Linked DNA regions of Ovis aries. The protein of the gene in region 1 purifies or fractionates together with the protein of each later gene. This does not show direct contact. Links are inferred from orthologs where the notes say so. Each region holds a gene or a part of one and is shown in the gene's direction. Other genes may lie near its edges.

Region 1 (3,643 bases):
GGGAAGCGAGGCAGGGGAGTGTCAGACACACTGATGGGAACTCTCTTGCTATCAGACGCAGCATAAGGAGAAGTCGACCAGTGCTTATGGGAAAATGGAGATAACTTTGGGCTCCGTGTCCCTGCTGGATTTATTAATACACGGTGCTTATACATCTTGTGTTATAAAGTAACAGTGTTAGCCATCAAGCTTCGTAAGGAAGAGGTTTCCACTTGAAATCTCTTTGAACTGGAAGTGAATTGGCCATTTACTCATCCATCTCAGCCAATTTTTCCTTTCCTCAAAATGTTTGGTAAAAAGACTGAATTCATTCCCCAGGACCTTTTTCCTGGCACAAACTCCTGACGCTATAAAGCTTGGCACACCCTGTTTAGGCTTGAGGATCCAGTTGGCAGAAGTGATGAGCTGAGCTGTGAGGTTACAGAACATAAACGCGGGTTTAGTTGCAGAACTGAGGAGGGCACTAGCTTGCCTTCCCTCGAGGCCTACAGATGCAGGCCCTCTGTGAGTGCCAGGGCTGACGGACCTCTCTCCTCAGCGTTCTAGTAGCAGAAAGAACAGCCAGCTTACCCGCGATGCTCAGCACTAGCAAGGTCACTCGGGTATTTCCGAAACGTTAGTTTAGCTTTCCGGCTAACATGGCCTGTGGGGAGAGGCCTCCTTGTCGGTGGTTCTCTGAAGTGATAGGATTCCACGCATGCCTGTGGCTCAGGTCGGAGGGCAGCGTAGACCTCTTCCTTCAATGCAGGGCATTCCTGTGGCGAGGCAGCAGTGTCAAAAGCAGGGCGGTCGCAGGCCTCCCCGCGGCTGGGGACGGATGAGTGAGGCAAAGGGGCTCGAGGCTACGGGACCTGGAGCCTGTTTGAGGTAGTGGGGGTCGGGGGAGACTCGCCCCTCGGGACACTGCGTGTGGCTGCAGGGCTGTGCCAAGCGAAGGGGTGATTCGGTGTGTTTGGGCTTGTGGAGGGTGGGCAAGCATGGCCATCCAGGCGGTAGAAGACCTTAGAAAGAGTCAAGGCTGCTCAGCGCAGAGTGGCGCTTCCTGACCGGTGTCCAGTGTCAGCCCAAGGTCGCTGGCACCTGGGGCACGCAGGCCATCTCCGCCTTTGCACCTGTGTGCCGTGATCGGACACAGGCGTCCTGGAGGGCAGGGGAGTCCCGAGGGCAGAGCCGTGCTGTCGGGACAGACGTCAGGGCAGAGGGAAGCCAAGCCTCCGAGGCCCTGGCAGAAATGGGACGTCAGCAGGACAGAGCCTGTAGTGCCCTGTGTGACCCAAGGGCGAGTCCCAGTCAGCTCCACCGCAAGACCAAGCCTCGCCCAGGAAAGGGCCCCCACCTCCTGGTCTTATCTGAGAGGAGGGAGCAGAAGGAGCGGATCTCTATGTAGAACCCATTTACAGGAAGCCCCACAGCCTCAGGGCCAGGAGTAAATGGCCGTGGCCAGATCCCGCAGACCACCCCTCTCCGGGACCCCCTTGTGTTCCCCACACGCGGGGCTTCAGGCACCCCGGGGGCTGAGCTTGCTCCGGGCCCAGCCACAGAAGGCTGTTGTATTCTTGAGTGATTAGCTTAGTCTAAACTACAAAGGAAAAAGATTTGAGAAAATATGCCCTGGCAGGAAACGCCACTGACCTCCTGGATGTTGGCTTGTTCATTTTACATATTTTCTTAATGGAGTTTTCTGTTTTCTTTATTGAGTACCTTAGGTTTTGGGGTTTTATTTACAGTTTTGGGTTTTCTTTTCATTGGTGTTAAGCTCTGATTTGATGTTAAAAATTCACTTTAGCCATATATTTGTTTGAATATTATTTATAGTGCTAACCGTTATGAGGTGAATATTAGCCAGATGGTAAAATGCAGTTGTGCCATCGCCTGACAAATTGATACTAAAAAGGAAAATTAGCCATCATTTTATGGGATAGATTCCACTATTGCACTAAAAATGTCAAACTAGAACACGGTAAAAACCCAAGTGCTCTACTATTAACTATAAACGAAGTACCATGTTGGGTTAAATAGTCTATAATTTGGAATCTCAAGTTGATTGCATTTTGTTGGTAAATAAGAAACAGAGAGTTTAGGAACTAAGGTTAGATTGTCAGTAGAGCTGATGTCTTTTAAAATCAAAGACCTGCAGATTACAAATACATCCTCACGTTCATCAGCTCTGGTGCCCTGTTCTGAGGAGGTCAGTTACACCAGGGCTGCCGTGAACAGCCGTACAGGTTGTAGACTGCACAAGCCTGGGAGGTGCCACACGCCTGGCAGTCCCTGAGGTTGTTGAACACACCGTCCCAGGTGGGGCCCTGCATCGGGGGCCCCATGTCTTTTGAGATTCTGTTCATGGTGGTAAACTTGACTACCAGACTGCTCTGTGCCCTGTACCCTCTTCCAGCCAGCTTGCGCACACCACCCAAGTCCCTTCCCAAGTCTGAAGAGCTCTGGTCCATCCCACTAAAAGCTTAGCACACTGTTGCCCTGCGTCATCCTTCTCCTTCTTCTGCTTCCTGCTTTCCTCAGAGAACAGACCTGGTGACGCGGAAAATGCACCGGCAGGGGTGCTGGGGGGGCCCACCCGTCAGCCCGCCTCCCAGGATAGGAACAGGGTCCTCGGCAGCAGGAGGGGCGAGCCTGGAGGCCCAGTGGCGCATGTCGACGCAGTCAGCCCCCCTCCCAGGATAGGAACAGGGTCCTCGGCAGCAGGAGGGGCGAGCCTGGAGGCCCAGTGGCGCATGTCGACGCAGTCAGCCCCCCTCCCAGGATAGGAACAGGGTCCTCGGCAGCAGGAGGGGCGAGCCTGGAGGCCCAGTGGCGCACATCGACGCGGTCGCCAGTGCCTGTTTCTCCTGGATGTTTTGCATTCAAGAGAGAAATACGAACCTTGGCAAGGAGTCAGGGAAAGCACCGGTCTCTTTAAAGCAAAATCTGTAACAAAAAGCTTGGAGATTTATTTCATTTTATTCAGTTTTGTAAGTATTGTTGGAGGTATGAAAAGATGGAGGTCGCCCTGAGTTTTTATTTTTATCTTACCTGGAAGGGGAAATCCACGGGATCCTTCCAAACCCTGACGTGTTGTTGAAAACACTCTGTGGCCATTCTCTCCTCTCCAGCTTCCTGGTCTCCAGCACCCCGCACCCAGCCCCTCTCCAGGGCCTCTGGCAAGGCCCCGGGCGCCCCAAGGCGCAGTGCGCCTGTGTCTTCCTGTCCTCACTGTGGTCGCGCTTGTTTCCCACCACTTCCATAAACGCAGCCTGGGAGACTGCTTCTCGGGTGCTGGGGTTCCTCACGCCGGGGCTGAGTGGCTCCCCCCGCGGGCCCGTGCTCGCCTTTCTCAGAGTGCCGCCTTTGGTTCCGCAGGGTCCTCCCCACCGTCATCTCAGAATGCCGCGCTGCCTCCCTCGAGTGCCTGGCCGCTCGCTGCCTCCGGCCACAGTCGCGCTTTCAGCAGCCTCGCACCCGCTCCTGCTGTTGCAGGTACGCACCTGGCCTCTCGATGTGCTGGTCGCCTTCTCTCTCTCTCCCCAAATAAGACTGATGGCCTGGCTTTTCCTGGTGGTCTGTTTGCTCCCCTCCAAGCTGGGAGGCCACATGGAGTGATGGAGAGTGAGCCTGAGCTTTGCCGAGCAGCCACAGGGCCTCGGGC
Region 2 (3,743 bases), on another chromosome or scaffold:
ACTTCGAGGAAGGGTGTTCATTTCCATCGCTAGATTCCACCAGCTGAGCAAACATCTTCTCATCACCTGTTCTAAGGCTGATGGCACGTCGGGATGGTACCCAGTCCCACCCTGGCGTACCTTCTTACCCAGGCCACCTGGGCTCCTAAACACACGTTCAGCTGAGTAGCTGCCTAGGGTCACCTGTGGATTTGTGTTTCCACAGCATGAGGGTCAGGTGGAGAGGTGGTCTGGGTGGCTATGAGGGTGGGGGTGGTGGGCAGAGGATTAGATGGGGAAGAATGGACATCTCTGAGGCTGATGCCATGGGACCCCCTCATTCATATCGATTACTCGGTGAAGATGGAAGCCTTCTGACATTTCTTTCTGGAGGGCAGGTGGATTCTCGTGCATTTATTTAAGAATGTCCTTGAGAACTGCAGAGAGAGAAACAAACCTATTGGACGCTTGCAGGCAGAACTCCCGTTCATCTTTGTACCATGCTAGGCCAGCGGAACACAGCCACAGGTACACGGTGTCAGATAATACTTGCTTACCCGAGGAAGAAAGGAGCAGGCAAATATGTTAAAAAGATGACAAGCAATTTTGGATTGTATTTCACCTTCCGGTTTCTAATCCCTCATCAAGCAGGGGAGAAAGGTGTTGACCTCTGGCTGGCCTCCCTGGAAATGACTCTGAAAAGCGAAAACTGGATGCAAGGGTTTGGCTGGAGGGAGAACGTTTCTGCACGAGGGGGGCGAACACAGGGATGTACGGCGGAGCACGAGGGGGTCCGTAAAGGAACAGGGGAGGCCCCGAGGGCTGGAATGAGGAGTTACAGTTTGATCTGATCACGGATAGCGGCTAAAATTGACCAAAACCTGAAGCTCTTTACAGGGATTCTCTAGGTAGGTTCTCCGCCGGGAGGTGGCGGTGTGGTAGTGTGCGAGGACCCGGGCGCGTTCAAGTTCAAGCTCCGGGTCCGGAGGAACCTTCGCGACATTCCTGTTTCCTCCTTTATCGCTTAAAAGAGCCCGGCTGCGATGCCGGGGCCCTGGGGCGCGGGCGGCACCGCGTCCACACGGGGCCCCAGGTCGCCCGGCGCGGTGGGGGCTCGGGATGGGGAAGGGTCCGCTCGCGCGCGCGGGGAGGCGAGGGCTATGTTTTCTTTTCTTTCTTCCCGGTCTCGGCGACGGGGGTGAGGGGGCAGCGCCGCGCCGCCTGCTCCGCCCAGTCGGAGGAGGCGTCGCGCTTCTGAGTGGCTACAGGGTCCCCCCGGCCCCGCGTGCGCCCCCGCTACGGGGCCTCGCGCCACCCTCGCCGGCGCCGGCCCCGTCCGCCGTGCCCGGCGCCCGCCTCGGCCGCCGCGCTGGTCTGCCCCGCCCCCGCCGCGCGGGCCCGCCCCGCCCTCGCCCCGCCCCTCGCCCCGCCCCCGCCGCGCGGGCCCCGCCCCTCCCGCGCCTCCCTTCCTCTCCCGCCCCGCCCCCGCCCGCTCCCTCGCCCCGCCCCGCCCCTCCCCCGCCTGCTCCCTTGCCCCTCCCCCTCCCCTCCCCTTCCCCCCCTCCCCCGCCCGCCCGCCGCCGCCGCCTCCGCCCGCCGCCCCGGCCGCGTCGGGTAAACCTGTTTGGCGGCCGCGCCGGGGCGGATCGTGCGGCCGGCGGCTCCCTCGCGGCTCGCGGCGTCGGGGCCCGTGGCGCGCGCGCGGCCGCCCCTCGGCCCCGGAGCCCCTCGGCGGCGCCACCATGTACTCCGGAGCCGGCCCCGGTGAGTCCGCGCGCTCCTCCCCGCGGCGGTTGGCGGGCCGGGCGCGAGCGCGGCGCGGGCGGGCGGGGGAGCGCGGCCGGGGGGTCGGGGGGCCTGGGGGGCGCGGGGGGCTGCCGGCCGTTCCCTCGGCCCCAGCGCGGACGCGCGGCCCCGGCCTCCTCCTCGGGCCCGAGTCGTCGGGGCGCCCCGCGCGGCCTGGGCCCTTCCCGCGCCCCGTCTCCGCCGCAGCCCGGCGGGCTGGGACCGGGCCGGAGCGCGGACTGGGCCGGGCGGCGCGCGTGTAGGCCCGAGGCCCGGGCGCCCGCCTGCCCGGCTTCCTGCGCCCGGCGCCTGGGCCCCTGCGCCGCGCGGGGCCGGCGGGGCCGAGGCCGGGGCCGCGCTCGAAGCGCCCGGGGGCGGAGAGGCCCCGGCCGGGGGCGCTGAACTCGGGGTGCGGGCGGCGCGGGGAGGAGCGCGGCCGCTGGGCGCAGACCGAGCCGCGGCGAGCCTGGAGCGCTCTCAGTTTCGTTTTTCTTTTTGCCAGCACTTCTGCGGCCCCTTCTCCGAAGGAAAGTCTGGAAATGCTGAATTTTGGCCAATTCTTGCTGGTAGTTAGGACCGCGGACAGAGAGGGATAGGAAGGCGCCCTAAAACCCTAACCTGCGCGCGTCTCATTTTCATTCCAGACACACAGGCTCCTTATTCAAGTGTTAATTGCCTTTTACAGTTAACTAGAGGAAGGTGAGGAGATGTGCTGATTTCCTTAGCATCTTTTCTCACTAGCCGGCCTCCCTTTCTTTAGAAAAGTTCTGAAAAACTTAGAGCAGTAACACATTTTTTAAAGAACTTTTTTGGGGGAAATGCAGAGTAGAAGGGCGATTAGCTTGCTGAGGCAAGAAAGTGGTCAAATGTTGGTAAGCTTTTTCCCTTCTCCCGCCAGGCACGTGGCTTCTAAATTTCCCGCTGGCCCTGCCACTTGGACAGGGCATATCCTGTCCCCTTTGTCCACCAGGCTCCAGCGGGCTGAAGGCCCTGCCGGCTGGGTCCTGCCCTTTGTGGGCCCTGGCCCTCCCAAGACTCCTGCTGCTGGGGCTTTGGCCGGACCTCTTCAGGCTCTTCTCATCCATTTGGATCCCTTAACACTTTCTATTCACTAACAGTCCTGTGCCTTGTGAATACTCACTGTCTTGTTTTCTGATGTCACTTAGTTAGAAAGCTTCTCCAAGGCTGAGCCAGAGCAACTTTTAAATTGCTGTCAGCAATTTGATAGAAGAATGGTTTTAACTGTAATGGTTTTAACTGGAAGGTGACTCAGCCCTGGTGGGGAAAGGCCCAGGGCTCCAGTCACAGTCACAGTCCTGGGGGCAGACAGACTTGGCTTCTTAGAACGGGTGGGCAGCACCCACCCATGATGTGGCAGGGTAGCCCCCACACCTGGGTGAGTGAGAATCTCCCCGTCCATCCCTCTGAAGGAACCCAGCAAGTCTTAGCCACTACACTGAACATTTTTTCAGATTTTCAATGTAAAAGTTGGAGGCCCAGAAAAAGTGAAGAACCTTGGGGAAGGTCAAGCTTTTGTGATGTGTCTGATGTTCACTGAGCCACTGGACAGCTTGCTAAGTTGCTGATGGTCATTTTGAAGATGGACTGCAGAGGCACAGAGAGGCTATGAGCCTTTCGAAGGTCAGCCAGCCAGCGAGCAGTAGGACAATGTGTGTGATTCCAAGCAGACTCTCCATACACTCCCTTTAGAGAAGTGGCTTTCGGTTCTTTTGACCTTGACCCCCAAGAAGAAACACCTGTTACATGTAGACTGGACCCAGTGCTCGGGTGTTAGAGTATAATTGAAACACGAGCTTCAGGAAGAACCGCTCGCCAGTGCTGTGTGCTGTGCACTGGGATATTTTCTTGTCTGTTTTATTTTCCAAAAAGGTTTAGTTCTCTGGATCTCCAGGCTCGTTCCGGGTTCTCCATGGCTCTTGGAAGAATCTTGCTGTGATGTGGGCCTGTGCATCGTGGCC
Region 3 (3,743 bases), on another chromosome or scaffold:
TGAAAAGTGTCAGAAATTAATCTTTCTAGTGGGTAGCGACTGGGTATGGCTTCTCTTGAGTTCCTAGCATCTGGTGTAAAGTAGGCATCAAAAATACAGATGGATTAATATATATGAATGAATATATGGAAAAGTGATGTTTGAGCTGGGTCTCTCAGCACCTATCAGTTGATGCAGAGTGAATAGGAGAAATGTTCCTAGAAACTGAGACTAACAAGGAGGTGACTGTGATACTTTTGTCAAGATATGATAAGGGCCTGCATCAGCACAGGGAGCCTTCACAAGCATGTCAGGAGACCATATGAGCAGGTAAACAGGTCAGGACTTTGTGAACTGCTGTATAGGGTTAGAAGCAAGGGAGAGAGAGAAGCGGTCATTTCTGGGATGAAGGTGCCCTTTGTAGAGACAGGAGGTATAGGGCAAGCACTTTTGTGGGAGCAAAGATAAGAGTTTGGTTTTGAACTCTTAAAATTTGAAGTGCTGGTAGATCCAGGTGGAGCTGTCCAGCAGACACTTGGAAATATGAGTCTGAGACATGGTTGGAAATAGAGATTTGGAAGGATAGTTAAGCCATAAGAATGGATGAGACCTTGAAGCAAAAAAGTGGAGATTAGAATGAGAAGACAGCTAGGTTTGAAAACAAGGTGAACACTTTTTTTAATGGATCAAAAACAAGAGGGGGGGCTCTTGAAGAAAACCGAAAAGGACTTAGGCAATAGGAGACCTCAGAAAATGCTGAAGCCAAATAAAAGACTCAAAAAGGAAGGAGAGGCACAGTGTCAGATGCTGCAGCAAAATAAGAATTGAAAATTATCCTTTGAATTTTGACACAAAAAGTGTTTTAAGTGAGGTGGTGAGGTCAGAAGTGGATTGACTGAATTCAAGCGTGGGCTGTAAGAAAGTGGAGAGGTGCTTCCCAGCCCGTAGGTAGAGCTCAGTAGATGCACTTAAGTTGAGACGGTGACATCTTCCAGGGTAGGCAGGGTCTCTTTCATATCTCTGGTCTCAGCGCCCAGTACTCGGCCTGGAAGAGAGGGTGGCGTCAGTGAGTTCAGTGACTAGGGACGGAGAAAGGCTTCGCGGAGGCAGTCGCTTTGCAGCCGAGGCTTGAAGGATGAGGGTGATTGGGAGGAGAGGTGGGAGGCAGGGCCCCTGGGTGATGGGGCTCTCGGAGTGTGTGAGGGTGGCCTGGGAATGAGGTGGCAATATGCGCGTGGCCCTGTGCGAATGGGGGGAGGTTGTGTGTAGGCTTGGAGGAACGTGTTTGGGGAAAAGACAAGGCCGGAGGCTGCTGCGGGGTGGGGGTTGGGGGTGTGTTGTCCTCCCGCCCCGCCCCACTTACGCCACTGCGCGGTTCCGCGGCGCCTTTACCGGAGCCCTCCCGCCGGGCTGCATGGCGATGGGTGACCGCCAGGGGCCGCTGCCTCCGGTCCCCGGTGCCCCCGCCCCTCTCCATTGGCCTTTGTTGCCGTCGGAGCGCCCCGTTTGACTCGTTCCCGTCCGCCCCCTGGGCCTGGCGGTCGCGCCTGCGCACTGGCAGCTGGCCGGGCGCTCGCAGGGGGAGCTGCTGCAGGCTCCGCGGCGGCGGCGGCAACGGAGGCTGCGGGGGCGGCGGCGCGAGCGGCCGGGCTTGGGGGGGCAGCCGAGCCCGGCCCGGGAGCCCAGGCAGCAAACGTGCGGGGTACCTAGGCCCCTCACGCTGGACTCCACAGTCTCCGGGCCGCCTGATCTCCGCACGGGTATATGGGATGGAAGCGGGACCCTCGGGAGCAGGTAAGGGCCCCCAGGAGCGGGGACGGTGCATGCTCCAAGGACTAGGGGACTCTCGCGTGAAGAGCAGGGTTTCGGAGTGAGGAAGGGTTTCCTGAGTGGGGAACGGGGCTCTTCTGAGATGGGGGGCCCAGTTTGAAGGGGGTTGTGTGCAGTTCCGGGGGAAACCTTGCGAAGGGAAGCTCTGAGACGGGGGCCATTTATCAAAGGAGCCTGTATGCACTCGTGGAGGTAGGAAGTGCTTTGGAAGAAGGGCCTGAACGCACAGGAGGACTCCTGGAGGTACCAGGAGGCCTAGGGAGAGGCCCGGCAGGTGGCAGGGGGCGGGCTCCAGGTGTCCAGGAGAGGGAGGTCGACACAAATGGGCCCAGAGCTGCCGCATGCCCTGGGCGGGGGCTCAGCCGGTATGGGTTGGGCTGGGTTGATGTCTTTTGGGAGAAGGCGCCAGAGCTGGGCTGTGAGCTCCGCCCCAGCCGGGCCTGACGCGGGGGCGAGGGTCAGGGGGCAGTGGGTGGGGATCCAGCCCTGGGATTCCCCCCCTTAAGTCTGGGAGCTGGAGTGGAGGCGCCGGAGCATGCGCGTAGGTGGCAGCTGGAAGGGGCTGCCCGATGTGGTGGGGGCGTGGCCGCCCGAACCCCCCTACCCTTAGCCCCGCCAGGTTGACTTGGTAAAAGGGGAGCGCTGATGGCTTGTAGTCTCTCTTAGGTTATGCTGGCAGGACACAAATGGAAATGGGTCCCTTCCCCATCTTGGGGGTCTTAGGCTTGACTCTGAAACCTTCAGTCTCAATTTGCCAAGACTAGGTTGAGGGAGATGGACAAGTTTCTTATTCCGCCACTAGGATGAGGAAAGACGGATGGGAGCAATGTTTTAGGTTAGGGACAGGTCCTCCTTGAAGACAGGCCTTAGAGAATGTATTGGTTGCTGAGGGACCAAGGCCAGGACCTGGTTTCCGTAGAAGGGATTGTTTGCCTGGTTTGCATGTTTCTGGTTCAATGGTGAGCAGAGTTGGGATCTTTTAATCCAAGGATAATGACCTCTCTATTGAATGTTTCCTGAGTTGACAGCCTAATCTTTCTATGCCTTAATGTTTTTATGGTTGCTTTCCCCTACTGGGTATCTTTTCTTTTTGCTCTCTCTACTCCCCCAGAAATTGTCAGAGCCATGTTATTAGACCCAGCGTTGTCAGGCGAGCCTTTTGTCATATATAAGTTGTATGGGATAGGGGGAAGTTTATAGCCTTCACCATAGTGTGTCCCAGGTGATAGCCTTAACTTCTTATTCACCATCAGGAGAAAAGGAGATTAGAGGGGAAACTGAGGCAAGACTGTCCCGAGAAGGCCAGAGTTCCTGGATGGGGTGAGGGTGGTGGCACCTCCTGTGTCCTAGGCGTCTTATCTTTTTGGTGGGAGGAGCAGTCTGGAATCTTTTAGATCTGTCTCACTACTTCCGTTTGATCTGGAGGGGAGAATAGAATTTCTATTTGGGACATGAATTTTATTTCATTTGGGACATGGATTTCATTTCTGGTTGAAGCAAGCATCTTTGTCTTTTATACCAGATCTTATACTCTTAAGGAAATAACTCCTGCCACTTCATTCAAGTCATTCATTCAGTGATCTTTAAGTACTTAGCGACTACTTTCACCAAGATGGAAACAACCTTGTAAAGGCTGTATAAGCCTTAAGGTGGAATGCAGGGGTCAACTGACTTCAGAAAACTATTAATGCTTCCTTTTTCCCTTAGGCTCCTCTCTCCCTTCCATGAACTCTCTTGGTTTTCTGGGCTGGAGACTACTTGCAGCAACCCCTGGGACTAGAGTAGTAGGACACGGAAGTCCAGACGGATTGGTGGGAGCTGGCACCCATACCAGACTGCTTATGGTTTTATTCTGATGAATTCCGTGTGGTCTCGAGAGTGATGAAAAAATTGACTTTTTGTTTTTGGTTGTTGTTACAATAAATAAGCTTCTA

Evidence for each region.
Region 2: the proteins of TNRC6C (region 1) and AGO2 purify together in Homo sapiens (co-immunoprecipitation; 6 studies listed by BioGRID and IntAct, with this or other methods). This does not show direct contact. The link is inferred for Ovis aries from reciprocal best matches to the Homo sapiens genes TNRC6C and AGO2.
Region 3: the proteins of TNRC6C (region 1) and protein argonaute-1 purify together in Homo sapiens (affinity purification with mass spectrometry; 5 studies listed by BioGRID and IntAct, with this or other methods). This does not show direct contact. The link is inferred for Ovis aries from reciprocal best matches to the Homo sapiens genes TNRC6C and AGO1.

Annotation. Positions count from the first base shown.
Region 1 is NC_056064.1:53,388,764-53,392,406, reverse strand, and holds part of TNRC6C (trinucleotide repeat-containing gene 6C protein), read left to right. Parts: intron 1-3,357; coding exon 3,358-3,474; intron 3,475-3,643. UniProt on the Homo sapiens protein: Plays a role in RNA-mediated gene silencing by micro-RNAs (miRNAs). Required for miRNA-dependent translational repression of complementary mRNAs by argonaute family proteins.
Region 2 is NC_056062.1:15,983,484-15,987,226, forward strand, and holds the start of AGO2 (protein argonaute-2), read left to right. Parts: upstream 1-1,595; 5' UTR 1,596-1,721; coding exon 1,722-1,743; intron 1,744-3,743.
Region 3 is NC_056054.1:10,821,592-10,825,334, forward strand, and holds the start of protein argonaute-1, read left to right. Parts: upstream 1-1,538; 5' UTR 1,539-1,748; coding exon 1,749-1,773; intron 1,774-3,743.